7 linked regions of the Macaca fascicularis genome follow. The protein of the gene in region 4 interacts with the protein of the main gene of each other region in a biochemical or structural test. Links are inferred from orthologs where the notes say so. Each region holds a gene or a part of one and is shown on either strand. Other genes may lie near its edges. The genes, in order: TGS1, HNF4A, RXRA, NCOA6, THRA, ESR1 and PPARG.

The links.
Region 1: the proteins of NCOA6 (region 4) and TGS1 form a complex in vitro, tested with the Homo sapiens proteins (2 studies listed by BioGRID). The link is inferred for Macaca fascicularis from reciprocal best matches to the Homo sapiens genes NCOA6 and TGS1.
Region 2: the proteins of NCOA6 (region 4) and HNF4A form a complex in vitro, tested with the Homo sapiens proteins (2 studies listed by BioGRID). The link is inferred for Macaca fascicularis from reciprocal best matches to the Homo sapiens genes NCOA6 and HNF4A.
Region 3: the proteins of NCOA6 (region 4) and RXRA form a complex in vitro, tested with the Homo sapiens proteins (5 studies listed by BioGRID). The link is inferred for Macaca fascicularis from reciprocal best matches to the Homo sapiens genes NCOA6 and RXRA.
Region 5: the proteins of NCOA6 (region 4) and THRA form a complex in vitro, tested with the Homo sapiens proteins (2 studies listed by BioGRID). The link is inferred for Macaca fascicularis from reciprocal best matches to the Homo sapiens genes NCOA6 and THRA.
Region 6: the proteins of NCOA6 (region 4) and ESR1 form a complex in vitro, tested with the Homo sapiens proteins (4 studies listed by BioGRID). The link is inferred for Macaca fascicularis from reciprocal best matches to the Homo sapiens genes NCOA6 and ESR1.
Region 7: the proteins of NCOA6 (region 4) and PPARG interact in a test that uses a peptide from one of them, tested with the Homo sapiens proteins (2 studies listed by BioGRID). The link is inferred for Macaca fascicularis from reciprocal best matches to the Homo sapiens genes NCOA6 and PPARG.

The regions. Positions count from the first base shown.
Region 1 is NC_088382.1:65,757,596-65,761,095, reverse strand, and holds part of TGS1 (trimethylguanosine synthase), read right to left. Parts: intron 3,115-3,500; coding exon 2,942-3,114; intron 2,602-2,941; coding exon 1,773-2,601; intron 1-1,772. UniProt on the Homo sapiens protein: Catalyzes the 2 serial methylation steps for the conversion of the 7-monomethylguanosine (m(7)G) caps of snRNAs and snoRNAs to a 2,2,7-trimethylguanosine (m(2,2,7)G) cap structure.
Region 2 is NC_088384.1:100,500,892-100,504,391, reverse strand, and holds part of HNF4A (hepatocyte nuclear factor 4-alpha), read right to left. Parts: intron 3,492-3,500; coding exon 3,255-3,491; intron 1-3,254. UniProt on the Homo sapiens protein: Transcriptional regulator which controls the expression of hepatic genes during the transition of endodermal cells to hepatic progenitor cells, facilitating the recruitment of RNA pol II to the promoters of target genes. Activates the transcription of CYP2C38.
Region 3 is NC_088389.1:4,952,450-4,955,949, reverse strand, and holds part of RXRA (retinoic acid receptor RXR-alpha), read left to right. Parts: intron 1-612; exon of another isoform or gene 613-815; intron 816-1,467; coding exon 1,468-1,618; intron 1,619-2,250; coding exon 2,251-2,430; intron 2,431-3,500. UniProt on the Homo sapiens protein: Receptor for retinoic acid that acts as a transcription factor.
Region 4 is NC_088384.1:90,779,863-90,783,362, forward strand, and holds part of NCOA6 (nuclear receptor coactivator 6), read right to left. Parts: coding exon 2,821-3,500; intron 1-2,820. UniProt on the Homo sapiens protein: Nuclear receptor coactivator that directly binds nuclear receptors and stimulates the transcriptional activities in a hormone-dependent fashion. Coactivates expression in an agonist- and AF2-dependent manner.
Region 5 is NC_088390.1:61,153,584-61,157,083, reverse strand, and holds part of THRA (thyroid hormone receptor alpha), read right to left. Parts: coding exon 3,392-3,500; intron 2,757-3,391; coding exon 2,551-2,756; intron 670-2,550; coding exon 523-669; intron 1-522.
Region 6 is NC_088378.1:59,861,262-59,865,259, reverse strand, and holds the start of ESR1 (estrogen receptor), read right to left. Parts: upstream 2,801-3,998; 5' UTR 2,709-2,800; intron 1-2,708.
Region 7 is NC_088376.1:150,711,308-150,714,778, reverse strand, and holds the end of PPARG (peroxisome proliferator-activated receptor gamma), read right to left. Parts: intron 948-3,471; coding exon 700-947; 3' UTR 501-699; downstream 1-500. UniProt on the Homo sapiens protein: Nuclear receptor that binds peroxisome proliferators such as hypolipidemic drugs and fatty acids.

The sequences.
Region 1 (3,500 bases), on a different chromosome or scaffold from region 4:
AGTATAGAAGAGTATCAGAATATTAATATAAAATCTTCAAATAAAAAAGGATGGCTGTGCATGGTGGCTCACGCCTATGCACTTTGGGAGGCTGAGGCGGTAGGATCACCTGAGGTCAGGAGTTTGAGACCAGACTGGCCAACACGGTGAAACCCCGTATCTACTAAAAATACAAAAAAAAAAAAAAAAATTTAACTGGAAGTGGTGGCACACACCTGTAGTCCCAGCTACTCGGGAGGCTGAGGCTGGAGAACTGCTTGAGCCCAGAGGTGGACCTTGCAGTGAGCTGAGTTCATGCCACCACACTCCAGCCTGGGCGACAGAGTAAGACTCCATCTTAAAAAAAAAAAATTAAAAAAAAGGTGAAAATATATCACCTAAATAGAAAAGAATGAGAATATTATGAGAATATTATGCTGAGGTAGGCTCCACTATAAGAATCTAAGAATACAGAGAAAAAAGCAAGTTGGCAGAGCTCTTTAGAAACTCTCAGCTGGATGAAGTATTATCAGCAATCTGAGATAAGCAAAGCAAATCTGATGGTTAAGTAAAAGGTCAAAACCATTTGTTTCACAAAGGAGTAAGGCTGAGAAGAAAGTTCCTCTACACTAGATGTCCTCAGCATGTAACATCAGGATGCCAAAACTTCAGGATATGCAGATGTCACAATTTCCTCCTCTCTCATTTTCCTGGTGCTGTTAATTGGCAGAACCCTCTCCTTAGCAAGAACACTGATATGGTTTGGATGATTGTCCCCTCTAAACCTCATATTTAAATGTGATCCCTAATGTTGGAAGTGGGGTCTGGTGGGAAGTGTTTGGGTCATGGAGCAGATCCTTCATGAATGGCTTAGTGCCTCCCCCCCATGGTAATGAGCTACTGCAATATCTGATTGCTAACAAGAGCCTGGGACTTCCCCCCTCTCTCTTGCTGTCTCTCTTGCCATGTGGCATGCCTATTTCGCTTTCACCTTCTGCCATAATTGGAAGGTTCCTGGGGCCCTCACCAGGAGTTGATGCTGAGGCTATGCTTCCTGTGCAGCCTGCAAAACTGTGAGCCAAAATAAACCTCTTTTCTTTATACATTCCTCAGTCTTAGGTATTCCTTTACAGCAATGCAAAGTAAACATTCTCATCCCACCCTACTCCGATTAACTCCTTTCAAAGCACTTCTCATTGGCATTCTCTAGTCCTGAGTGGCACCAGTTTGCACAACGAGCCTTTGTTTTTGTTTTTTTTTTTTTTTTTTTATCAGTTATTCAGGAATCAACCAAGTTCCTTATCCTGGATATTTTATTGATGAGAATCCTGAAATTATTCCAGTTATAAATTAATTCTGGGCCCCACTGAGATCTTTTTTCACAGCAAGACTTTGCTTGTCCTACATGAATTCCACTATGACTCATAAGACATTTGCCTAATGTCAAATGTACGTTCTCAATTGCTTTCTAACATGCCTCTTATAAACTCATTTGCTCTGAAAAACTAAAAGTTCCAAGCTCACTCTAAATTAGATTTCTCAAGAGATTCCACGTTTTCATTAGCCACCAAAGTACAAGAAGGAATGTTTTTGAGAACTGTATGCAAATATTCTTATTAACAGAAAAGGGTAACAACTTGTGATATGAAAATAGAATGGATTAAATCATTTCATTACTATATGAAATGTAGTTGGTATTACTGAACTCTACAATAAAGGATTAGTAGTTATTTTGCTGAATGAATTCATTTTGCTAACCATTACATGGCAGAATAAATCTTGGTTAATCTTACCCTGAGCTGGTGGGTCTGTGCTTGTATTCCCTGGTGGGCTGCTTTCCTCATTGGTTCCTCCATTATGTGGTTCACTTTGGCCGGAAGCAGGGCACTCTCTTCTGCTACTAACTTCACTTAGCTGTTGATGACCATCATGACTTGTAGAGGAATCTAATTGGCTCTGTTTTACTGCCTCTGAATTTAGTTTTATGTTACTAATTCCATCAAGTATTTCACTACAATCCTTATCACTTGTACCAGAGCTGTCATTATCAACTGTAATAGGTGAAGATGGAAAAGATACTAAGTCAACTTTCAAGCATTTTTCATCTTTCTTGTTGTCAGCTTCTGTTTTAGATGAGTAAGTATCTGTATCACAGCTTTGCAAGGCATCAAAAGTCCAACCCTGAGCTTCCCAATACTGAAACTGTTCCAAATAATACCAATAAAGTTGACTATAATGTTGCTCCCATTCTTCCTTTGTATCAGGAAAGTTCCAAGGTTCAGAAGATAGTGTTTGATCTGGATGTTTTTCTTGCCAACTCTGCCACAATAGTCCTCCTCCGTATTCATTCCAATACTTTTCCCATTTCTCTGTAATTTCTAGCTTTGGAGATAATGTGTTTTCAACAGGAAGATTTTCTGTCTCAGTATCTTTTTTGCTTTGAAGTTCACATATTCTGGTGTTCTCATACTGTTCAATTGAAGATGGATCATCTGAAGCCAAAATGTGTTCTTCTTCATATTCTTTTCTCCAAGATTCTTGCATAATTTCATCTAAGTATTTCTTTTGATGTTTCTTCTTTTTCTTTTTTATTTTAACTTTATTTCTAGTATTCATAGATACCTACATCAGATAAATAATTTGAATATAAAATGTACTTCATAAAACTATACAAGAAAGCAGAATCCAAGTCTATTTTGACATTAAATTAAACAAACTACTCTCAAAGTCCCACTATGGGCTTTCAGCTCCACAAACAAGTGACATACTGTCTAAGTTTCCAAGAGGAGGAAGAGTCACACGTGAGACATATTACAACTTGCAGTTTTGGTTAATTTATAAATACATACATTTAAAAAGAGGCAGAGAGTACTGATTGTGAATGCATTTAATCTGATAAAAAGTAACTCCCTGCGATATTTTATAAAGAAAACTGAGAGAATAAAAGTAAATTAATATTTACCTCAAAATTCTTATGTGCAGATATCCTACCAAATTGAAGTGGCAATCCCATACTTCTCATGAGTTCAGCCTCAGAATCAAGCTCACTTTCATCTAGGCATATGCCTTTGTTGTCACGTGATTCCGCAGTACCACAAGAATAACCACCTTCTTCCTCTTCTGTCGCCTGGTCTCCTATAGATAGCATTTATTAGCTTAGTTTTAAGGAAAACTTAAGAGGCAGGTTTTCTTATTTTCATTTAAAAAAACCCTGAGATCCAGAGTGACTGATTACAGGACCTGCCCAAAACAAAGGTAGGCAAATGTTACAATATTTATTTTTTATTTTTTAGAGATGGGGGTCCCACAGTACTGCCCAGGTTGGAGTATAACAGCTATTTGCAGGTGTGATCATAATGCACTAAAAAGCTCTGAACTCCTGGGCTCAGTCAGTCCTCTTGCCTCAGCCTCACAAGCAGCTAGGATTACAGTTGCATGCCATCTTGCCTGGCCTGCAAAGTTACAATTTTTAAAGGAAAAAAAGAAAACAAACCAACAAAAAACAACTGATGATATGCTGG
Region 2 (3,500 bases), about 9.7 Mb from region 4:
CACAACAGTGGTTCCCAACTGGGGATGATTTTGGCCCATCAGGAGACGTTTGACTATATCCGAAGACATTTTTGGTTGTCACTACTGGAGAAGTGCTACTGGCACCTTATGGGTACAGGACAGAGATGCAGCCAAACAACGCACAGGACAGCCCAGCACAACAAAGAATCGTCCAGTTCCAAGTATCAATAGTACCAGTGTTGAGAAACCTCGCCCTCACTGAAGCACCTCCAAAATCTCGAATTCAACATCCCTACTTTGACTTCACCTTGTGTCCTTCCAGCTCCCTTAATCTAGTACCATCACTGCAAAACTTCTTCAGCCTACTGAGGCTGTCAATTCACTGACACTCTCTTTTCACTATCACCCCATCCTTTTGTTGTTGTTGTTGAGACAGAGTCTTGCTCTGTCACACATGCTGGAGTGCAATGTCACAATCTCGGCTCACTGCAACCTCCGTCTCCTGGGTTCAAGCGATTGTCCTGCCTCAGTCTCCCGAGTAGCTGGGATTACAGGCGCATGCCACCACGTCTGGCTAATTTTTTTTGTATTTTTAGTAGAGATGGTGTTTTACTGTGTTGGCCAGGTTGGTCTTGAGCTCCTAGCCTCAAGTGATCCACCCGCCTCGGCCTCCCAAAGTGCTAGGATTACAGGTGTGAGCCACCGCACCCAGCCTCTGTCTTTATTTCTCTTTGAGTGCAGCCCAGACTGCATGACCTATCATTCTAATCACTCCCTTGCAGTCATCCTAACTCCTTCATACTCCCCTTCACAGTCAAACCATTTCAAAGGGTTATCTACTCTATCTCCACCTTCCCACTTGCTGTCTTTGGAGCACTCTCCAATCTGGTTTCCACTCTCCCAGCTCTCTGAAACTGCTTTCAACACAATTGCCAAGAGCCTCCAGCTGCCAATCCAATGGACTCTTTCCTCTCTCTTCCCCTCCTCCCTTCACCTCTCCATTCCTCCCTCCTTCTTTCTGTCTCTCTGCAGAGTGTAACACCATTAAACACTCTGTCCTTCAAACACGCTCTTCTCTTGGATTCTGGAATTGCCCTGGTTTTCTCCTACCCCTCCGGCCATTCTTCTTCCCTTCCCTCCATGGCTCCATCTTCCCCCGATTCCACAGAGCTGCCTTTAATCTTGTGCTTGAGCAGCAGACTCATACATTCAACTGCCTCCTCGGCAACTTGGACTTGTAATAGTCATCTCATGCTTAATGAAAGTCCACAATGAGGCTGGGCATGGTGGCTCACACCTGTAATCCCAGCACTTTGAGAGGCCAAGTCGGAAGGATTGCTTAAGACCAGGAGTTCAAGACTAGCCTGGGCAACATAGTGAGACGTCGTCTCTATAAAAAATAAAAATGAAAAATTAGCCGGGTATGGTGGCACACACCTGTAGTCCCAGCTACTCGGAAGACTGGAGGATCTCTTGAGCCTGGAAGGTTGAGGCTGCAGTGAGCTATGACTGCGCCACTGCACTCCAGCCTGGGTGACAGAGAGAGATCTCGTCTCAAAAAAAAAAAAAAAAAAAAAGGAAAAAGGAAAAAAAGAGAGTCCACAACGGATCTCTGAGGTCACCCCTCACGACCACCCCCAGACCGCAGCATCAAGTTGTTTATTCTGTCCTCCTCATCTCGGTAAACTACTCCATCATCATTTCTGCTATTCAAAGCAAAAATTTAGACTCTGTCCTTGACTATTCCTCTTCCTGTCACTCCCTACATCTAATCAGTCAGCAAATCCTGTGGGTGTGGGCTCTTCCTCCAAATAGATGATCCGGTTTATCTTCACTGCTCCATTTCCATGGTCCAAGCCTTCATCATCTGTCACATGATTGGAGACAGTGACATTCTCAGGAATCTCTGCAATTTACTTTGTACCCAACAGTCTGAGTGGTTTGTTTAAAGCATTAGTCTGGGCTGGGCATGGTGGCTCATGCCTGTCATTCTAGCAGTTTGGGAGACCGAGGTGGGCAATCACTTGAGGTCAGGAGTTTGAGACCATCTTGGCCGATAGGGTGAAACCCCATCTCTGCTAAAAATATAAAAAAAAGAGCTGGGCGTGGTGGCGGGTGCCTGTAATCCCAGCTACTTGGGAGGCTGCACAGGAGAATTGCTTGAACTTGGGAGGTGAAGGTTGCAGTGAGCCGAGATCCTGCCACTGCACTCCAGCCTGGATGATAGAGGGAAATTTTGTCTCAAAGAATAAAAATAATTAGTCTGGTTTTCACTCTCCTTACAATAGTTGCAATGAGAATAAAATCCAAATTTCTGACAAGGTTTACAAAGCCATATGTTTATGATTTGGTTTCTGCCCAATCTCCATCTTCACCTCCTCCATCTCCTCCATCTCACAACCTTGCCCTTCTTTCTCAAACACACAACTCTCTCCTCTCCGGGGCCCTTGAAGTAGTTCCTTCTTCTTGGAATATTCCTCTCTTTTTTTTTTTTTTTTTTTTTTTTTTTGATGGAGTCTCGCTGTGTTGCCCAGGCTGGAGTGCAGTGGCACGATCTCGGCTCACTGCAAACTCCACCTCCCAGGTTCACGCCATTCTCCTACCTCAGTCTCCCGAGTAGCTGGGACCACAGGCGCCCACCACCACACCCAGCCGATTTTTTGTATTTTTAGTACAGACAGGGTTTCACTGTGTTAGCCAGGATGGTCTCGATCTCCCGACCTCGTGATCTGCCCTCCTTGGCCTCCCAAAGTGCTGGGATTACAGGTGTGAGCCACTGCTCTCTTGTCTTTTAAGCCTTGCACTTCCTTTCAGCCATTAGGGTCTTAGCACAAGAGTCACCATTTCAGAGAGGTCTCCTTTGGCCTCCCCTATCTAAAGAGGATTCCTTTTCAGTTAAACTCTACCATATTACCTGTTTATTTCAAAATCATAAAATGTGAGCCTTTATACACACATGCACACACATACGGGCATATACACAGATATCCATGCATCTATACACACTCACACATACACAGCCTCCCGGAGGGCAAAGATCATGTTCTTCACTGAATTGCCAGCACTCAGAACAGTGACTGGCATGTGCTAGGCTCTCAGCGCCTGAACAGATAGACCATTGCCTTTGTTCCCATTTTTCTGATGAGGAAACTGAGGCACAGATGGGTTAAGCAACTTGCCCAAAGCTGCACAGTGGGGAAGCCAAGGAGCTGAGGGGTGAGCTCAGGTCTGTGTGAGGCTGTCTCCTAGAGAGTCCCCCCTCCAACCCTGCCCCTCCTGGGCCTGGCACGGACCTCCCAGCAGCATCTCCTGCAGCAGGTTGTCGATCTTGGCCATGCCGAAGAGCTTGATGAACTGGATCTGCTCGATCATCTGCCAGGTGATGCTCTGCAGGGTAGGTAGCAGCAGCAGCAGCTCTCCAAAGCGGCCGCGCGAGTCATACTGGCGGTCATTGATGTAGTCTTCCAAGCTCACCTGCACCTGGGAACGCAGCCGCTTGATCTTCCCTGGATCGCTCAGCCCTTTGGCATCTACAATGG
Region 3 (3,500 bases), on a different chromosome or scaffold from region 4:
CTGTCCTTCCAGGGGCTTCACTTTCGCCTTCTGCAGAGTGGGGGACCCTGTGTGACCTTGGCCAGCCCCTGACATCCCTGAGCCACAGCCTCTGCATCTGGGGCCCCCAGGGTTTTCCATGCAGGGAGTGGCAAGTGTGGGTGCAAAGCCCAGGCACCATACCCCTCAGCAAACATCTGGAGCCTTCTCTTGCCCCTTCAGTTCCCTCCCTTCTCTGAGAAGCGCACCTGGTGCCTGTGGACGTGAACGCTGGGCTTTTGGCGAGTCACACGGTGGCCACCCGGTTCTCCGGTGACTGGAGCCCCCACTGTGGCACCCCCACTGTGCTGAGTTGTCACGGGGGACCTTCTGGCCTCTTGCAGCTCACCTGAGGCCCGCGGGGACCAAGCATCCTCGCAAAACCTCACAGCCCACCTGGGCAGACCGAGGAAGAACTTAGAAGCCGGAACAAACTGGGGCTGGAAGACTCATTCCAGGCACCAAGGCCCGTGTGAAAGGAGGCTTTGGGGTGGTTTTTGCTTTGCTTGCATTGAGCCTCAAACTCTTCCTGTCCCGTGAGAAGGGGGGATGGGATTTTGGAGGCCTGAGGAAGGAAGGAGGGGAGCTTCCTGCGCACAAGCGGTGGCAGGGGTTTGCAGAAGTGAAGGCTGGGGGCTGCCTGGCCGAGCGCTCAGTGCTGTGCGCAGCCGGGCTGGCTGGCAGGATGCAGCGGGAAGCGCCTGTGGGTCCTCTGCACTGACTGCAGAGCTGGGTGGAGGCAGCGGAACCAAAACTGCTGTGTCACTGCACGCTGCAGCTGTTACCAGGGTGACCGGGTGAGTTTCCCACGCTTGCCCGGGCGGCAGCGTGCGGGCTGGCGGGTGGGGCGGAGGGGTGTGCGGAGAGGCCAGTGGTGTCGTGCCACTCGATGCCCGGGGGTGTCCACTCCCCTCTCCTGTGTCACGTGACCAGGACCCCTGCCCTGCGGTGTGGTGGGGTACATGTGTGGTTCTTGGAGGGTCCCCAGCCCTCCTCCGTCCTGGGGACTGGGCCTCGGCGTCCTCATCTGTGGGTTGGGACCCCCCAGAGTGCCTGCCTCATGGAGTGTCCGGGGGCACCCAGCAGGGCTGGGCACTGCCAGGGGCTCAGTAATGAGAGGCAGCTCTCATTTAGGTGGGCAGTGGACGGGGGGTGCAAGCAGGGACCGCCCATGTGTTGGGGGGTTGCTGAGGGGTCCTTTGCCACAGAGGCCTGGGGTCTGCTGTGGGCGAGTCCCGAGGTTGCTGCAGCCTCTGCTGGCCTCGCTCAGCACGCACAGTGACCCCCTGCTCCGGAGCAGCGTGGCGGGTGGGGGGCACGACCCTCTGTAGCCTCCGTGTCTGTGTGTGAAGTGGGGGGTACGGCTGCGCCATCCTTGCTGCAGGGCTCTGGGGGACGTACGGACGAACCTGGTGTGCACCCCACTGACCGCTGTGGTTGCCCCCCCAGCTCAGCTCACCCATGAACCCGGTCAGCAGCAGCGAGGACATCAAGCCCCCCCTGGGCCTCAATGGCGTCCTCAAGGTCCCCGCCCACCCCTCAGGAAACATGGCTTCCTTCACCAAGCACATCTGCGCCATCTGCGGGGACCGCTCCTCAGGTACTGCTGCTGTGGGGGCCGGTGGGACAGGGTTGTCAGGCCACTGCAGGGTCTGGAGGCCTCCCCAAGTCACCCTCCTGTGGGCCAAGCAGGACCCAAGGCCAGGGTGCAGGGAGGCAGGCACCTGGGCCATGGCCCACTCCCAGGGCTCCACGAGGCCATTCCAGGGTTCTCACGTCTGTGGGACAGCATGTGTTGGGTGGGGTGGGGCACAGGGCCGCCTGAGGCTTCCGGAGAGGAGGTGGCTGCTGATGGCAGGGTCAGTGTGGGAGCAGCCAGCACCGTGCCTCCTCCCTTGGCTGGGTCTGGGCAAGGGGCCTGTGTTGTGCCACTGCCCCCCACAGCCTGAGAGGGAAGAACGGGCTGCACGGTGCAGACACAGAGCAGGTGACTTGCCAGGAGCTCTGGTCCCTGATGAGCTGGGATTTATCCCTGCCCCACTCCCCAGTTGTCCTCGGAGGAGCAGAGAGGGCAAGGCCGGGGCCCAGTCTGAGCCCAGGCGGGGGTCTGGAGACCAGCGGGTCCCTTCCTGAGGCCTGGCCCACCAGCTGACAGTGGCGGCGTTGGATGCGGGGTGGGCTGCCTGCCGGCGCGGTGACTGCTCCCCAGCCCTGCCCTGCCCTGTCCCGCAGGCAAGCACTACGGGGTGTACAGCTGCGAGGGGTGTAAGGGCTTCTTCAAGCGGACGGTGCGCAAGGACCTGACCTACACCTGCCGCGACAACAAGGACTGCCTGATTGACAAGCGGCAGCGGAACCGGTGCCAGTACTGCCGCTACCAGAAGTGCCTGGCCATGGGCATGAAGCGGGAAGGTAGGCCACGGCGTCGGGTGGGGGCACGGGCAGGTGTTGGACAAACAGTGGGGCCCGGGCCTACGCATGGACACCCAAGATGGACAACAGGGAGTGAGTGGCCTGGACAGAAGCACGGCAAGGCCGAGGCAGGAGTGGCGGCGGGGCCCGAAGCGTGGGCGCACATGGGCCCCGGGCGGCATTTTCTGGCTGGCGTTGGCTGTCTGGCGAGGGGATGGTCAAGGAGACCTTCAGGTGGTGCTGCTTAGGTTGGAGAGGTGGAGCGGGGGCGTCTTCTGAGCTGTTGGATGCCAGGGGTGGTTCCGGGCCGGCTTCCTCCCGAGGCCAACTCTGCTGCACCCCTGCAGGGCCGCCGGATGGCCCCCAGGCTCTTGGAGCAGTTCCTCCTTTCCTTGCATTTTTGTGCCGGTGTTATTAACAAATCTGTGTTGGGGGCGGTTTGCAGGGAAGGTCCCTCCCCCGATGTCACCACAATTGTCAAGTCAGACCTGGGTCAGAGTCCCGGACCCAACAGGCGCTGTGACTTCCCAGCCCTGGCTGGCTGTGGACCTCAGTGTCTCCATCTGTCACATCCCCTTTCCTTCTCAGGTTTGGCGATTCCTGGCCTCCGAGTGGGTCCCTGGGTCATGGTTTTCTCACGTGTTTGCGGGTGTGCCTCGATTCTTCCCATCGGGTCCCGTGCCCTGGGCTTTGTTGGGGTGGGAGGTGCTGTCTGGGGTGAAGATCTGCTGGTCTGTCCCCATGCCCCCAGCTCTGCAGGACACCCTTCCTCTGTCCTCTGCCGTGCTGCTCCCAAGGCCCCACACCTGTGTGGCTGGTGTGTCTTACTTCCTCCCCGCCAGCCCGTGGTGGGGTCCCCAAGCAGGATCCAAGCCACTGTCTCACCGTCAGGGATGTCCTGAGTGGCGGCCCTTGTGCTGCAGTTTCATTTCATCATCTCTTGTGTGTGCCGTCTCAGCCTTCACGGTCCTGTTGAGAAATCAGCTCCTCTGCCGGGCCCCGCACTCCCGCAGGGTATCCTCCTTGGGCCGTGAGGCTGAGTGTGACGTACGGGCTGGCATGGGGTCCTT
Region 4 (3,500 bases):
AGAAATCTGGAGGCACATTAAAGGGAGAAACATCAGAATCAGGCTTCAAAGGACACAGAGAACTTAGGCCCTTAAGGAATGGAATAAAATACATAATGCACTCTAGAAGGGAACCATCCTGGAAGATACAGTAAAGATTATGGCGTGGATATGCCACAGTCACATCTTGACACCTCAGTCTAAAATCCTAGATAAACTCTGCGACAATACGTTTTACTCTCTTGTGGAAACTGTGAATTTTGTATATTTTTCTCCCTGCTTATTAAAGCAGTAAATTAGGCATTTATGTATAAGAATTTATTTTGGATGCTCATCTGATAAACCTTAAAACTGTATCTTAACTTCTACTTTTAACTTTAGTGTTCATTTCTCAAATTTCCTTTTCTTTTTCTTCTGAGACAGACTTGCTCTGTCGCCCAGGCTGTAGCACAATGGCAGGATCTCGGCTCACCACAACCTCCGCCTCGTGGGTTCAAGCAATCCTCCCGCCTCAGCCTTCTGAGTAGCTGGGACCACAGGTGCATGCCACCATGCCCGGCTAATTTATATATATATATTTTTGTAGAGATAGGGTTTTGCCTTGTTGCCCGGGATGGTCTCAAACTCCTGGGCTCAAGTGATCCACCTGCCTCAGCCTCTCAACATGCTGAGATTATAGGCATAAGCCACTGCGCCTGGCCAATTTCTCACATTTTCAAAGTAAAAGCACAGAAGTCCCTTGAAAAAGAATAGAAATAATCACTTATAAGCAAAGTGAGTATTCTTAACTAAAATTGAGAACTTTTTCCAAGTGTGGTTCATCTCCTCAAGGCTCACATATTTCTCTAGTATAATATATGATCCAGATAAAAAAAATTTCTAATTACTTCATCATTTTTCTCTTGATACCAGAGGGAAAAGTCTCCTGAAAGGAGAAGTGGAAATATTTAATTAATAGTGAAGGATATACTTAATTTACAGCAGGTTCCCTTTTAATTATTAAGGTTCATCTACACCAACAGAACTAGAACAAGATAGAATAAGCACCCAGTCTTGTGAAGACTGTCTCCTATAAGAGCAGCAAACTCCTTGAAGGCCTTGATCCTGCCCCCATATCTCTAACACTGAGGTCAAGAGGCAGAGAGAAGGGGAAATAACCTTTCCAGAGCTCGGTGTGAGGCAGTGTGTTGGCCACTTGACAAATTTTCTCATTGAGTCCTCTCTCAGAATCCTAAATTCTGGGAGGTAGAATGTACAATCTCCATTTTACAAGTGAAGTACATGGCTTAGGAGAGGTTAAGGAATGTATCAACTGTAACTGGTAACCAGTGGGCTAGAATTTGAACTCTGATCTTACCCTGAAGCTTGTGTTCTTTCTGCCTCTCCACCTGGGTGCTTACCACTCAGTGGTAGGCACTCGAAGCATTTTAGCTGCATAAATAAGATAGGCACTTAATTAGCTGGCCTAGGATATTGCAAAGGTCTTTCTCAGCTCTAGCAGTGTGTGACTGACTCCACTCTGAGGAAATAGAGCTTCTTCACTTAAGCCTCACAGGAGGAGAATCATGTAGGGGAAGGGAAGAAGGGAAGGAGGGGCGGTTGTAAGGACACCTATGCTTCCATCATTAGCCCATTTTAACAGTACATAGGAAATAGCCTGAACTAGATACACGCAAATGGAATGCACCAATCAACAAAGAGATTACATAAAAAAAAAACTGGGAATAACAATTTTTACCACTTATTGAATAATTATATGCTAGGTTCTGTGCTAAGAATGTTATATGTACTACCTTATTGAATTCTTACAACTATTATTGTTCCATATTACAAAGGAGGAAACCAAAGTCTGGAGTGGTCAGGTAACTTGCCCAAGTCCACAGAGCTGGTAAATGCTGGTGTTATAATACCAACCCAAGCCTACAGGCTCTTGACCACTTTGTTTCTGCCGTGTCCACTATCATGAAACCCAGTTTTCTTCTAGCTCTCCTCTAGAGTAGCCCAGACAAAAAAAGAATGGTTCCTGAGATAGAGTACAATGAGAATGAGGACCCATTGTTCTGAAAGTCATGAGCAAATCTTCACCCTGGTAAAGAGAATCTGCAGAAGCTGCTGTTCACACGTAAGGTACAGTGTTAAATGGGAGGTTCACAGTATAGACTCTGAACAAACACTGAACTTCTTTGAGCTTCAGTCTTCTCACCCATACAATGGGATTAAGAATATCTGATATGGTTGGTATAAAGATGATGCAAGACAACATATGTAAAAATGCTTCCTTGTAAATTGAAAAACTTTTATATAAATGAAAGGTGTCATTATTTCAGGAGCTCTTTGTTTTGAGAGCCTTAGCTCTCTTTGTTTTTTTTTGAGACAGAGTCTCGCTCTGTTGCCCAGGCTGGAGTACAGTGGCGTGATCTCGGCTCACTGCAACCTCTGCTCCCAGGTTCAAGCGATTCTCCTGCCTCAGCCTCCTGAGTAGCTGGGATTACAGGTGTGTGCCATCATGCCTGGCTAATTTTTGTATTTTTAGTAGAGATGGAGTTTCACCATGTTGGCCAGGCTGGTCTTGAACTCCTGACCTCAAGTGATCCGCCCGCCTCGGCCTCCCAAAGTGTTGGGATTACAGGCATGAGCCACCGCACCCGGCCCTTAGCTCTCTTTAATGAATGCAAACTTAACATGGGATTTAAAAGCATATTTTCCAACGTACTTTCAATAAATAAAACTACTTCCATTTAGCCCACTCTCCTCCAAGTAAAAAACGAGTCATGCTTTCTCTTGTGGGATTAGGTCATCAAAAAACTGACACAAAGAGATGATGAAGCCCCAAGTACATACCTATGCTGGGTAGAAGTTCTGGATGGGATCCCACCTTCTCCTCCACTAGGCCACCCGCAAGTGGCTCAGATGCTATGCCACCATGATTGCTTTTTGTGGTCGTTACGGCAGAGATGAGCTCGGAGGGTACCAGAGTGGTTACTATCGAGCGTACACTGGTGGGGAGAGCACCGCCAGGTAAGCTGGGTCCTGCTGAGGCAGTGCCCGGGCCCACGGGGCTAGAGGTCATTTTTAGCAGAGTGGGTGCTGGGGGCGTTGGGGTTTTACTGTCCAGCTCTGTGGGTAACTGCTCTGTTCCCACGAGCCCCGGAGCTGTGGTGTCTAGCCCTTGGCCTTCAGTCTCTCCATCTGCACCATATTGTTCTTCCCCTTTCTCAAGAGAGCCTGTAACTTTCTTACACGCCTTGGTCAACAAAATTTGGCCAATTTTGTCCACTTTTCCTTTGCCCTTACTAGACGAGACTGGGCTTCGCCGGTTGACAGAGGACCCTGGACTATTGGTCAAAAGGGGAGAAACCATTGTGGTTGACTGTGAAGAGGGAAGAGTGTTCTGATCTGCTGAGGTGTTCACCTGAGGGCTAGCCTCATCTGGATTCAATTCTTTCACTTGCTGGACAGGGGGATGAGGAGGGACTACTGGAGAAGACGTACAAGGAGGGGAAGGAAGCTGAACAGGGGTG
Region 5 (3,500 bases), on a different chromosome or scaffold from region 4:
ATATGTATCTGCACGTGTGCCTGAGTGCTGGGTGTATGTGTATATGTGTGTGTCTGTGTGTCTGTGTGTGTATCTGTGTGCTGGGTGTGTGTATCCGCACGTGTGCCTGAGTGCTGGGTGTATGTATACATGTGTGTGTCTGTGTGTCTGTGTATGTATCTGTGTGCTGGGTGTGTGTGTCTGTGTATGTGTCTGCACGTGTGCCTGAGTGCTGGGTGTATGTGTATATGTGTGTGTGTGTATGTATCTGTGTGCTAGGTGTGTGTGTCTGTGTATGTGTCTGCACGTGTGCCTGAGTGCTGGGTGTATGTGTATATGTGTGTATATGTGTGTGTGTGTATGTATCTGTGTGCTAGGTGTGTCTGTGTCTGTGTCTGCATGTGTGCCTGTGTGCTGAGTGTGTGTTGACCTACGGGAATTGCTCCTTGTCCAGAGAGCCTCAGATGAGCCTGTGCTGGGTGACCGGGGGAGAAGGTTTCCCTCCAGCACAGCACCACGTCTCTCCTCCCTTCTGCCACTCACCTCGGAGAACATGGGCAGTTTTTTGGCAAAGTCCACCACACGGGTGATGGCCGGGGTGATGATCTTGGTAAACTCGCTGAAGGCTTCCAGGTCCACCTTGTCTCCGTCCGGCATGGAGACGATGGGTGACTGGCCAATGTCATCGGGCTAGAGAGAAAGACAGGGGTCAGCTGGGGCTGCAGACCCCTTTCAGCCTCTCACTGAGGCTGCCTGCCCACCAGGGGGAGCTCCAAGGCAGCTTGGGGAAGAAGGGCCGCAAGTGCCTGAGTCCCAGCCCCAAAGCTTTTCCTTCACCTTGAGCAGAGGATAGACCAGAGCCAGAGTCAGCTAATAATAACAATGGTAACAACAGTAGTAGCAGCTATAATGACTAAATACTTAATATATGATCAGGCATCAGGCTACATGTTTTACATGTCTTATTTCATCCTGACCGTAATCCTAAAAGGAATAATTATAATAATCACCATTTCACAGATGTGGAAACTAAGGCACGGGGCAGCTAAGTAATAAGGTTAAAGTCATATGACCAGCAAGTGGTAGGACCAGGGTTTGAACTTGGGCAGTCTGACTGCTGACTGTTATACATCTGCTTGGAATCAGAGCCCATGCCCTTAACAGTGCACTGTGCCACCCTCTGGCATGCTCCACCATGAACCAGGAGCTGGTTTTCTGCCTTCCTTCACCACACAGAGTCAACTGTCCATCTCCTCCCAAACCGACCACTTTTTTTTTGAGAGAGGGTCTTGCTCTGTTGCCTGGGCTGGAGTGCAGTGGTATAATCATGGCTTACTGCAGCCTCGACCTCCTGGGCTTAGGGGACCCTCCTGCCTCAGCCTCCCGAGTACCTGGGACCACAGGCACACACCACCATGCCCAGCTAATTTTAAAATTATCTGTAGAGAGGCTGAGCACAGTAGTTCACACTTGTAATCCCAGCACTTTGGGAGGCCAAGGCAGGCAGATTACCTGAGGTTGGGAGTTCCAGACAAGCCTGACCAACATAGAGAAACACCATCTCTACTAAAAATACAAAATTAGCCAGGCATGGTGGCGCATGCCTGTAATCCCAGCTATTTGGGAAGTTGAGGCAGAAGAATCGCTTGAAGCTGGGAGATAGAGGTTGCGGCAAACCAAGATTGCGCCACTGCATTTCAGCCTGGGCAACAAGAGCAAAACTCCATCTCAAAAAAAAAAAAAAAAAATTATTCGTAGAGGCTAGGCATGGTGGCTCACACCTTGTAATCTCAGCACTTTGGGAGGCCAAGGCAGGCAGATCACTTGAGATCAGGAGTTCAAGACCGGCCTGGCCAACATGGTGAAACCCTGTCTCTACTAAAAATACAAAAATTAGCCAGACATGGTGGCGGCTGCCTGTAATCCCAGCTACTCAGGAGACTAAGGTGGCAGAATCGCTGAACCCAGGAAGCAGAGGTTGCGGTGAGCCGAGATCATGCCACTGCACTCTAGCCTGGGTGAGAGTGAGACTCCATACCAAAAAAAAAAAAATTATTCATAGAGGTGGGATCTCTGTATGTTACCCAGATGAACTCCTGGGCTCAAGCGATCCTCCCACCTTGGTCTCACAAATTGCTGGGATTACAGGCACGAGCCATTGCATCTGGTCCTGAACTAATCATTTACTTAGCCACTAGCTTGACCAGGGCCTAACACAATGCCTGGCACCCAGCAGGCACTCAAAAATACTGTGACATAACTGTATCCTTACCCTCTCCTCCCAGTCACTAGGGGCAGGAAAAAGAAGCAAGGTCACCCTTGCTCCCTGGAAATTCAATGAGGAAGGCAAGGCCCTGTCCTCATGGAGCTCCCAATTGGATGGAGTAGACAGGGTCCAGACAGCAAGGACACAAACGCAAGTGTATAAAATCTGGACAGCAAAAGTGGGAAGAGTATGTATTTTGGGTTGGATTACACTAAGAAGACTTCCTGGAGGAGACAGGACTCTGAGCTCACTCTCCTCTCCCTGCCACCTGGCTGCTGCTCTCCCCATGCCCCCTTTCTCCTTACCAGGAATTTCCGCCTCTGTTTCCAATGGCTGCCCTGGGCATTGGTGCTGCGATGGGCCTCTGTGGCAATGTGGATCAGATCCCACTCTTCAGGAGTGGGTTCTGGTCGCTGCTGCAGTGATCGGATCATCTCCTCCTTCCGCCGCCGCTCCCGGTTCTGCTCAATCAGCTTACGCTTGGCCACCCGCTTCGAGTCATCTAGAACCACTGTCAACAGATAGGCACAAGGTCCGATGCATGGCACCCTCCATCCCCTTTCCATAATGCTCCCGGAAACTATTCTTCCTAGAGTACAGGTTAGGGAAACCGAGGGCCATGGAGGCTAAGTGACTTCCCAAATCACCTAGCAGTTGGGCAGCACAACCTGGATCATGATTAATCCCCGGGACCATGTCAATAACAGTTTGGGCTGATCCAGATGAATATCATGTTCTGGTCTATCGGGTTATGGTGATGGTGGTTACTCCAAGATCCTGCCACCCAATCCCCAGCCAATGGAAAATGCCCTGTCTCATCTAGGAGTGGGGTGCCTTCGCTGGGAGTCAAGAACAATGTGCTAGAGTGGGTGCCCAGGAGCTCTTTCTACCAAACAACTCCTCTAAGGCCCTCGAGTGTTGTAAGGCAGGTAGGCACTGGGGCCCACACAGGGATCCTGTTTCCTTTGACGCAGGAAGAAGGGCAGCAGGAACCAAGACACTGAACCTTCTGCCCTCAGCCTGACCTAGACTGGATTGCCACTCTGCCCTGTGGGCCCTGAGGGCACGCTGGAAGGGAGCTGCCCTCCTGGAACTCATCCCCACCCCAGGCCACCTGGCTCTATTCCCCCCACCCGGGCCCCTTACAGTCCATGGCCATGCCCACGGCGATGCACTTCTTGAAGCGGCACAGCTGGCACTGATTTCGGGTGATCTTGTCAATGACACAGCAGCTGTCATATTTGCAGGAATAAGT
Region 6 (3,998 bases), on a different chromosome or scaffold from region 4:
ATAGATAAATGGGAACACCAATTCAATAGCATTCATTAGCCATGAGAAACTCAACGGTAAAAGGCCATAAGCAACTCAATGCTATAAAGGACTGGAGATTTGCATCATTGGACAATCAAATGGGAAACCACTTTATCAATGGAACTTTGCAGGAGGAACAACGGAACCAGAAAAGTGGGGAGCTCTTGGCTGACTCCCAGTAGGAAAGACCTGTCACTAGGACTAGTCATCTCCTCTAATGGTCAATACTTACCTTAGCAGGGCAGGCGCAGTGGCTCATGCCTGTAATCCCAGCACTTTGGGAGGCTGAGATGGGCGGATCAGCTGAGGTCAGGAGTTCGACACCAGCCTGGCCAACATAGTGAAACACCGTTTCTACTAAAAATACAAAATTAGCTGGGCATGGTGGTGCATGCCTATAATCCCAGCTACTCGGGAGGCTGAGGCAGGAGAATCACTTGAACCCAGGAGGCGGAGGTTGTGGTGAGCCAACATCATGCTACTACACTCCAGCCTGGGCAACAAGATCGAAACTCGGTCTCAAAAACAAACAAGCAAACAAAAAAACTTGCCTTAGCATATCTTGGTTTAGTCTCCTTGAGCTTCCTTCTTCTAAGCCTTAGCCTGGCCATCTTCAGGAAAACCTGTTCTTGCTTATCTATGCCTACATGTAATATGATATTTAAAACCTGGATTTAGACTCAAACTTGGCTGATTTACCAGCTCTGTGATCTTAGTTAGACATATGAATCTTCTAAGCCTCAGCTTCCTTATCTGTAAAGCAAGACAAATACTCTCTTCCCACAGGTGTGTGGGAGGATTAAATGAGATAACTTTGATACATTTAGAACAGTTATGCACCAAACTCTATTCTAAAGACTGCTGTTTATCTTATGGAGTCAATATCATCATTTTGTTTTCCATCCCACATAACAGTTGGATGCCAATATGAAGTGTATATTTATAACTGAGAATCAACTATTTTTACTGAATGAGGAATATTAATGAGAATGATTTTAACCAAAACAGCAAACGATGGCACTGGTGTGCTGTGTGTGAGTGAGAATAGCTCAGGAATACCAGAGGGGAAAAGGATTTCAGAATCAATAAGTACTTTTGTGAGCTATTTCACAAAAATGACATGAAAGAAAATATTTAGAGATACGGAAAAGGTCAAACTAACCTGAAACTCAGTTTTATTGACAAAAGTTTAAGTTACCTTTAGCATATTTCATCATCCCATAATCAGGACCATCAATAAATATTTACTGAGTGCCTACTGCAGTCAAGACACTGCAGTGTGGGCTGCAGTTAATGTCCAGGTGATGGGAGAATTGCTTAGAAGTACGAGCAATTGTACTTTCCTGGATGACTAAAATCTAATTGGAGAGTCAGGCATAGCATAAAAATAAATCTATAGAAGAAAAATCAGTAAACAAAAGTAGCCTACAAAATTTTCCCATGTTTTTTGGGATGCACTTATATGGCTTTAAATTTTAAAAATATTTTGAAATATAAAGCTTAAAAGAGTGAACAACTCGGGTCATCATACTTTTTTTTTTTTTTTTTTTTTTTTTTTTGCCAGAACCTCACTAGAGGAAGATATTAGATTGGATGATATGAAAATGTCAATATTTAACCTTTTTTACATCCAAAAAAACCCCAAAATTTCATGTGGTTCAACCTTGATTTCAGTAAGCTATTTCTGAAAGCTGGATACATGTTGAAATATGAGTAACATTTGCAGTCCATCTACTCTGGACTCATGCTAATTCCTTCTGGGGCCTTTTCAGATTCAAGATAGATTCGCAGGAAAAAATGCATAATATTTAAACTGACGGACTGGAAAATTAGCATGAAAAGTTCACCAGTGTTATGGAAAATTTCACCCAACACATTTCGTAAAGAACAAAAACCTAAACACACATGGTAGATCCACTTCAGCAAATCATGTTAGTGCAGCAACATTATCCAACAATAAAATTTTAGAACAATTTTCTCCCCAAGGGACTCATTTTCCTTAGAAAATTATGCAAAGTGTGAACAACTGTGAAATACAATTGTCACCCAAAATATTTAACTTGACAACAGATTGAAAACTGTTACAATGTAATATAATTTACAATGACTAAAATTTTAATTTTAATGGGTAGTACCCATAAAAGTTGTCTAGTTTAATTAATTTCCCTTTTTCATTGGTGCTGTGGGTCTTAAATTTATATTTTGCTACATCTTTATAAAACAACTTTAAATTCCCACACATTAAATTTCTCTACAACTGTCTATCTAAATCAGAGTTTTTAATGATAAAGACATGTGATGCCCCTGTATGAATAGACAGAGAAAAAATTAAAACGAACAAAAAATGTATTCCCCCTGTGTAAGATATAGACTTTTTTTATCATTGAAGACTTGTTTGGCTAACTTTACAGTCCAAAAATTCTCCTAATTTGAAAGATTGTCATTATAAATTAAAATCTCTGAAAACCTCCAGACTATGTATCAAGTCTTTGAAGATATCAACATTGTGCCCATATATATCCCATAGCCTTGCCTTGGTATCACCTTGTGAGACACAAATGTTCTTTCTATGGCATGTGCTTTTATCCTGATGTGTGAGGCCTTGGTCTGATAACCTCCTTACATAGTCATCTTAATATTCAGTTGCCCAAGGGAAAGTTAATAGAGTAGAAAAAATTAAAACTTACCTTCTTTGGTAGCTACAGAATATAATTCACAATCAAAGGGATTGGTATCAGATTTTGGAGATATTTGAGGCTCTGCGATTATTTCTCTGACTGCTTAGAACCTTAGAATCTACCAGAATAAAATCTATTAATCAAATATTTTTTTTGGACTAAGCTTACACAGTTTGTTCAGGCATTGTTAGCATGTCTGGAAGAGTCATCTCTGCTTTCGGGAAAATTACGTTGACTGAAAGAAAGCACAAAACAATCGTCTCAAAACCGTCAGTAATTTTTCTAAAGGATGTCAAATGTGCACTTCACAGCGAGGGAAAATGTTGACCAATACTGTTGTTTGTGATAAATACATCACATCCTAGTGAAAATGTGGTATAGCAGGTAACAAGTTTCCATTCTGTGCACTAGAACTGAAAAACTGTACCTAGAAAGGATATTCTGAAAAATACTAATTATAGGGACAAAGCCTTAATATTCTTAATACAAACAGCTCTTAAAAGTCTATTTTAAAAATGGAACATGTGAACAGAAAAACTAATAAAAATTTACAAAGGACAAAATAATGGAGACCAGTAAACATAATTTTTAAAGGTCACTGTTAATTGGAGAATTTCAAATTTTTAAAACTGTGTGCTATCAGGTTTTAAATATTTATGGTGGTTATAATGTAGGAAGTAAGCATTCTCAAACACTGCTGGCGAAGTATAAAATATTACAACCTTCCTAGAGCACTATGACTTTATTCAAAATCTTAAAATACTCAAAGGAAAAAAAAGAGCTTTCTTTCATCTACAGTTCAAAATAACATAACTTAAAACTATATTATTCCTAGGCCTATATATAACAAGACATCTTCAAAATGTTGCCTTCTTATGCATGAATATGATGTAATTCTACTTATTTAGATCTTCTTTAATATTTCTCAAGAAAATTTTTCCTCTAATAAGTTTTTCTACATCTTATGTTAGATTTATTTTCTAATGTTATTGTCTTTTTTCTAGTATAGTGAAATGACATTGACTTTTGTATATTAATTTTATATCCTGCCTTCTTGCTGAGCTCTCCTACAATTTCTAATAATTTATCTGAAGATTCTTTGGAGTTTTTTATGTAAATGTATATATCATCTGAAAATAATTAGTTTCATTTCTTCCTTTTCAATCCTTATATCTGACTCTACAATTCTCTAAATTTTTGTCATATATATTTTGAGGCAGCTTAATTGGGTATGTATACATGTTTAGAATGGATATTTCTTGGTGAATTGAAACTTTAACCTTATGACTTCCTCTATTA
Region 7 (3,471 bases), on a different chromosome or scaffold from region 4:
CAGTGGCATTGATTAGCAGGTAGTATATGAATAGGCTGCTGGTGGTGAGTGAAAATCTCGGTTAGGATTGTGGAAGAAGACTGAATTCTGGGTAAGCCCAGGGATATACTGCATATCAGCATATCCAGGCTACAAAACACATGCTCTGAGCCGTCTGATTCTGAAGTTCCCCTTCCCTTCTTAGTTCTGATTGTTAAAGCAGATGTAGAGTTCCGAAAAGTTGTAAATTGAGTAAAAAATTAATTTACTGAGAATGGAAGTGTATCAGCAGTTCCACTCACATATTTTAAAATGTCTAAGAAAGAAAAGAAAAATAAAGGAAGAAGGAAAGGAAGGAAGGAAGGGAGGAAGGGTGCGAGGGAGGGAGGGAGGAAGGAAGGGAGGGAGGGAGGAAGGGAGGGAGGGAGGGATCGAGGGAAGAAGGAAAAGGGGGAAAAAAGAAAGCCCAGGGGCTAGGGTGGGAAACACACAAGACTCAGTAAATGAAATACTATCAGCAATTTCATAATATGGTAATTTTTAATATTAAAAGTAAATTGTAAATGTGTCTTTATAAACAATATGCATAAAATAGATCATATTCTAAAACCGTTTCTTTTTAAAATGCTTTTTCACAGTAAATTTCTTAGGTGTCAGATTTTCCCTCAGAATAGTGCAACTGGAAGAAGGGAAATGTTGGCAGCGGCTCAGGACTCTCTGCTAGTACAAGTCCTTGTAGATCTCCTGCAGGAGCGGGTGAAGACTCATGTCTGTCTCCGTCTTCTTGATCACCTGCAGTAGCTGCACGTGTTCCGTGACAATCTGTCTGAGGTCTGTCATTTTCTGGAGCAGCTTGGCAAACAGCTGCGAGGACTCAGGGTGGTTCAGCTTCAGCTGGAGCTCCAGGGCTTGTAGCAGGTTGTCTTGAATGTCTTCAATGGGCTTCACATTCAGCAAACCTGGGCGATCTGGGGAAGCACAAATGGAAAACACAACACGGGGTTCAGTCAAAAAATCCTCTGGGCCCCGCCTCGGAGGCCTAGGGAGCTCTACCAAGCAACTCATCCGTGGTTTTGGTTTGTTTTGCTTTGTATCTTAAATAGGTGGGGAGCAAGGGCAAGCAGATAATGGGTGAGAACTGAGGATGTAATCAGAACCAAAATAATCAGAGGTCTTTGCAGGGGCTTTTTCTGGCCAGGATGGAATCTGTGTGGTCAGCTGATGGAGCGTGGCATCAAAACAATTTCATTCCCCAAATTAAGTTTCCTCTGCTAACATGTTTCTACTCAGAAATTTCCTTTTTCCTTTTTTTTTTTTTTGAGATGGAGTCTTGCTCTGTCTGGCTGGAGTGCAGTGGCACGACCTCAGCTCACTACAACCTATGCCTCCCGGGATCAAGCTATTCTCCTGCCTCAGCCTCCTGAGTAGCTGGGATGATAGGCGCTCACCACCACGCCTTTCTAATTTTTGTATTTTTAGTAGAGATGGGGTTTCACCATGTTGGCCACGCTTGTCTCAAACTCCTGACCTCAAGTGATCCACCCGCCTTGGCCTCCCAAAGTGCTGGGATTACAGGCATGAGCCACCACGCCCAGCCAGAAATCTTTTCAACTTCTGCTCCTTCCTGATGAATCCATGTTTTATAGCTTCTACTCAGTTTCTTATCATAGCTTCAAATATGCTCTTTTCACAAATATGCTTTTAAAAAAAGGCTTGTCTTTTTGCTTGATTTGCTTATGCTGTGTTTGCTTAATATGGCGTATTTCCAAACGACAAAACACAGTTTTAAAATACTGATACATTTTAACAGAGGTTTCTTTTGAGTGGCAAGATTGCAAGCAATTTTCACTAGTTCTTCTTTAGATTTTTTCTTTAGTTCAATTTGCAAATGGTGAACTTAAATACCTTTTAAATATTTTACTTTTTTCTTTATGTAGATCTTGTTAGATTTATTCTCAAATACTTTATAGCTTCTATTGTGAATGGACCCTTCATTTTCATTACATCTAATATATCCCCGCTGATGTGTAGAAAACTAATTGATTTTAGTATATTGAAACGATTCCAATTTCCTGAACTTTTGTCAGTTCGAATAGCTTTTAATCATGGATTTCTACTTTTTTTGGATAGATAATTGTATCAGCAATGGTAGCTATTTATTTCTTCTTTTGCATCATTAACCTTTCTCATTTCCTCTTCTTGCCATAGTGTGTTGGCTAAAACCTCCAATATGGGATTAAATAATAGCAGCAATTCTTGTTTTATTCCTAACTTTGAAGGAAATGCTTCTAATGGTTTATCAGCAACTATGATGTTTGCTATAGATTATGGAGGACATGTTTTACTCCTGGCTTATCCAGGGGTTTAAAAATTTTAATTTGTTTTAGTCAGGAATGTTGTTGAATTTTTATCAAATGCTTTTACATTTCTCTATCTAAAGAGCTATGATATCTTGAAGAGTTATGGTTTTATCTTAACCTAGCACAGTGAATTACATTAACAGAGTTCCTTATACCCTTGTAGTCACTTGCTAATATTTTATTATAGGGTTTTTGTACTTGTAGGTGGTACTGATTTAGAATTATTTTGGGGGCCATTCTTTGCCTGTTTTAGTAACAATGTTAACTAGCCTTATACACTGAGTTGAGAAGTTTGCCTTCTGTGTCGACATAGTAATGATCTGTTCCCTGACGGTTTCTTAGAATTTGTTTGCAGAACCATCTGAGCTTAATGATAAATCTATCATTATCTTTAATTTTTCTTCCATAGTTTTTATCTATTCAGGCTTTCTACTACTTATATGGTAAAGTTTTAGTAATTTATATTGGAATAAAGTTGTAGATGATATTGTCTTAGAATATGAAATGTATTTATTCATGCCCCTTAACTTAATCTTAACTTAATGCTTTTTCTTTTCTTTTTTTTGAGACAGAGTCTTAATCTGTTGCCCAGTGCAGTGGCATGATCATGGCTCACTGCAGCCTCCAACTCCTGGGTTCAGGTGATCCTCCTGCTTTCGCCTCCCAAGTAGCTGGGACTATAGGCATGAGCCACCACACCCAACTAATTTCTAAATTTTTTGTAGAGGTGGGGTCTTGCTACATAGCCCAGACTGGTCTTGAACTTCTGGCCTCAACCAATCCTCCTGCCTCAGCCTCCCAAAGTGCTGGGAACATAGGCATGAGCCACTGTGCCCAGCTCTTAGAGCTCTTTATTTGTGCATTCTCTCATTAAAAAAATCTGATTTGGCCGGAGAATGGCAGGAACCCGGGAGGCGGAGCTTGCAGTGAGCTGAGATCTGGCCACTGCACTCCAGCCTGGGCGACAGAGCAAGACTCCATCTCAAAAAAAAAAAAAAAAAATCTGATTTGTCAAAGGTTTATCTAGTTTTTGCTTTTTTAAAAAAACATAACTTTTGGTTTTTTAATCAAGTCTGTTTTTAAACATTTTGTGTTTTGTTTTTAATTTATTGAATTCCTTTTTAAAACTTTC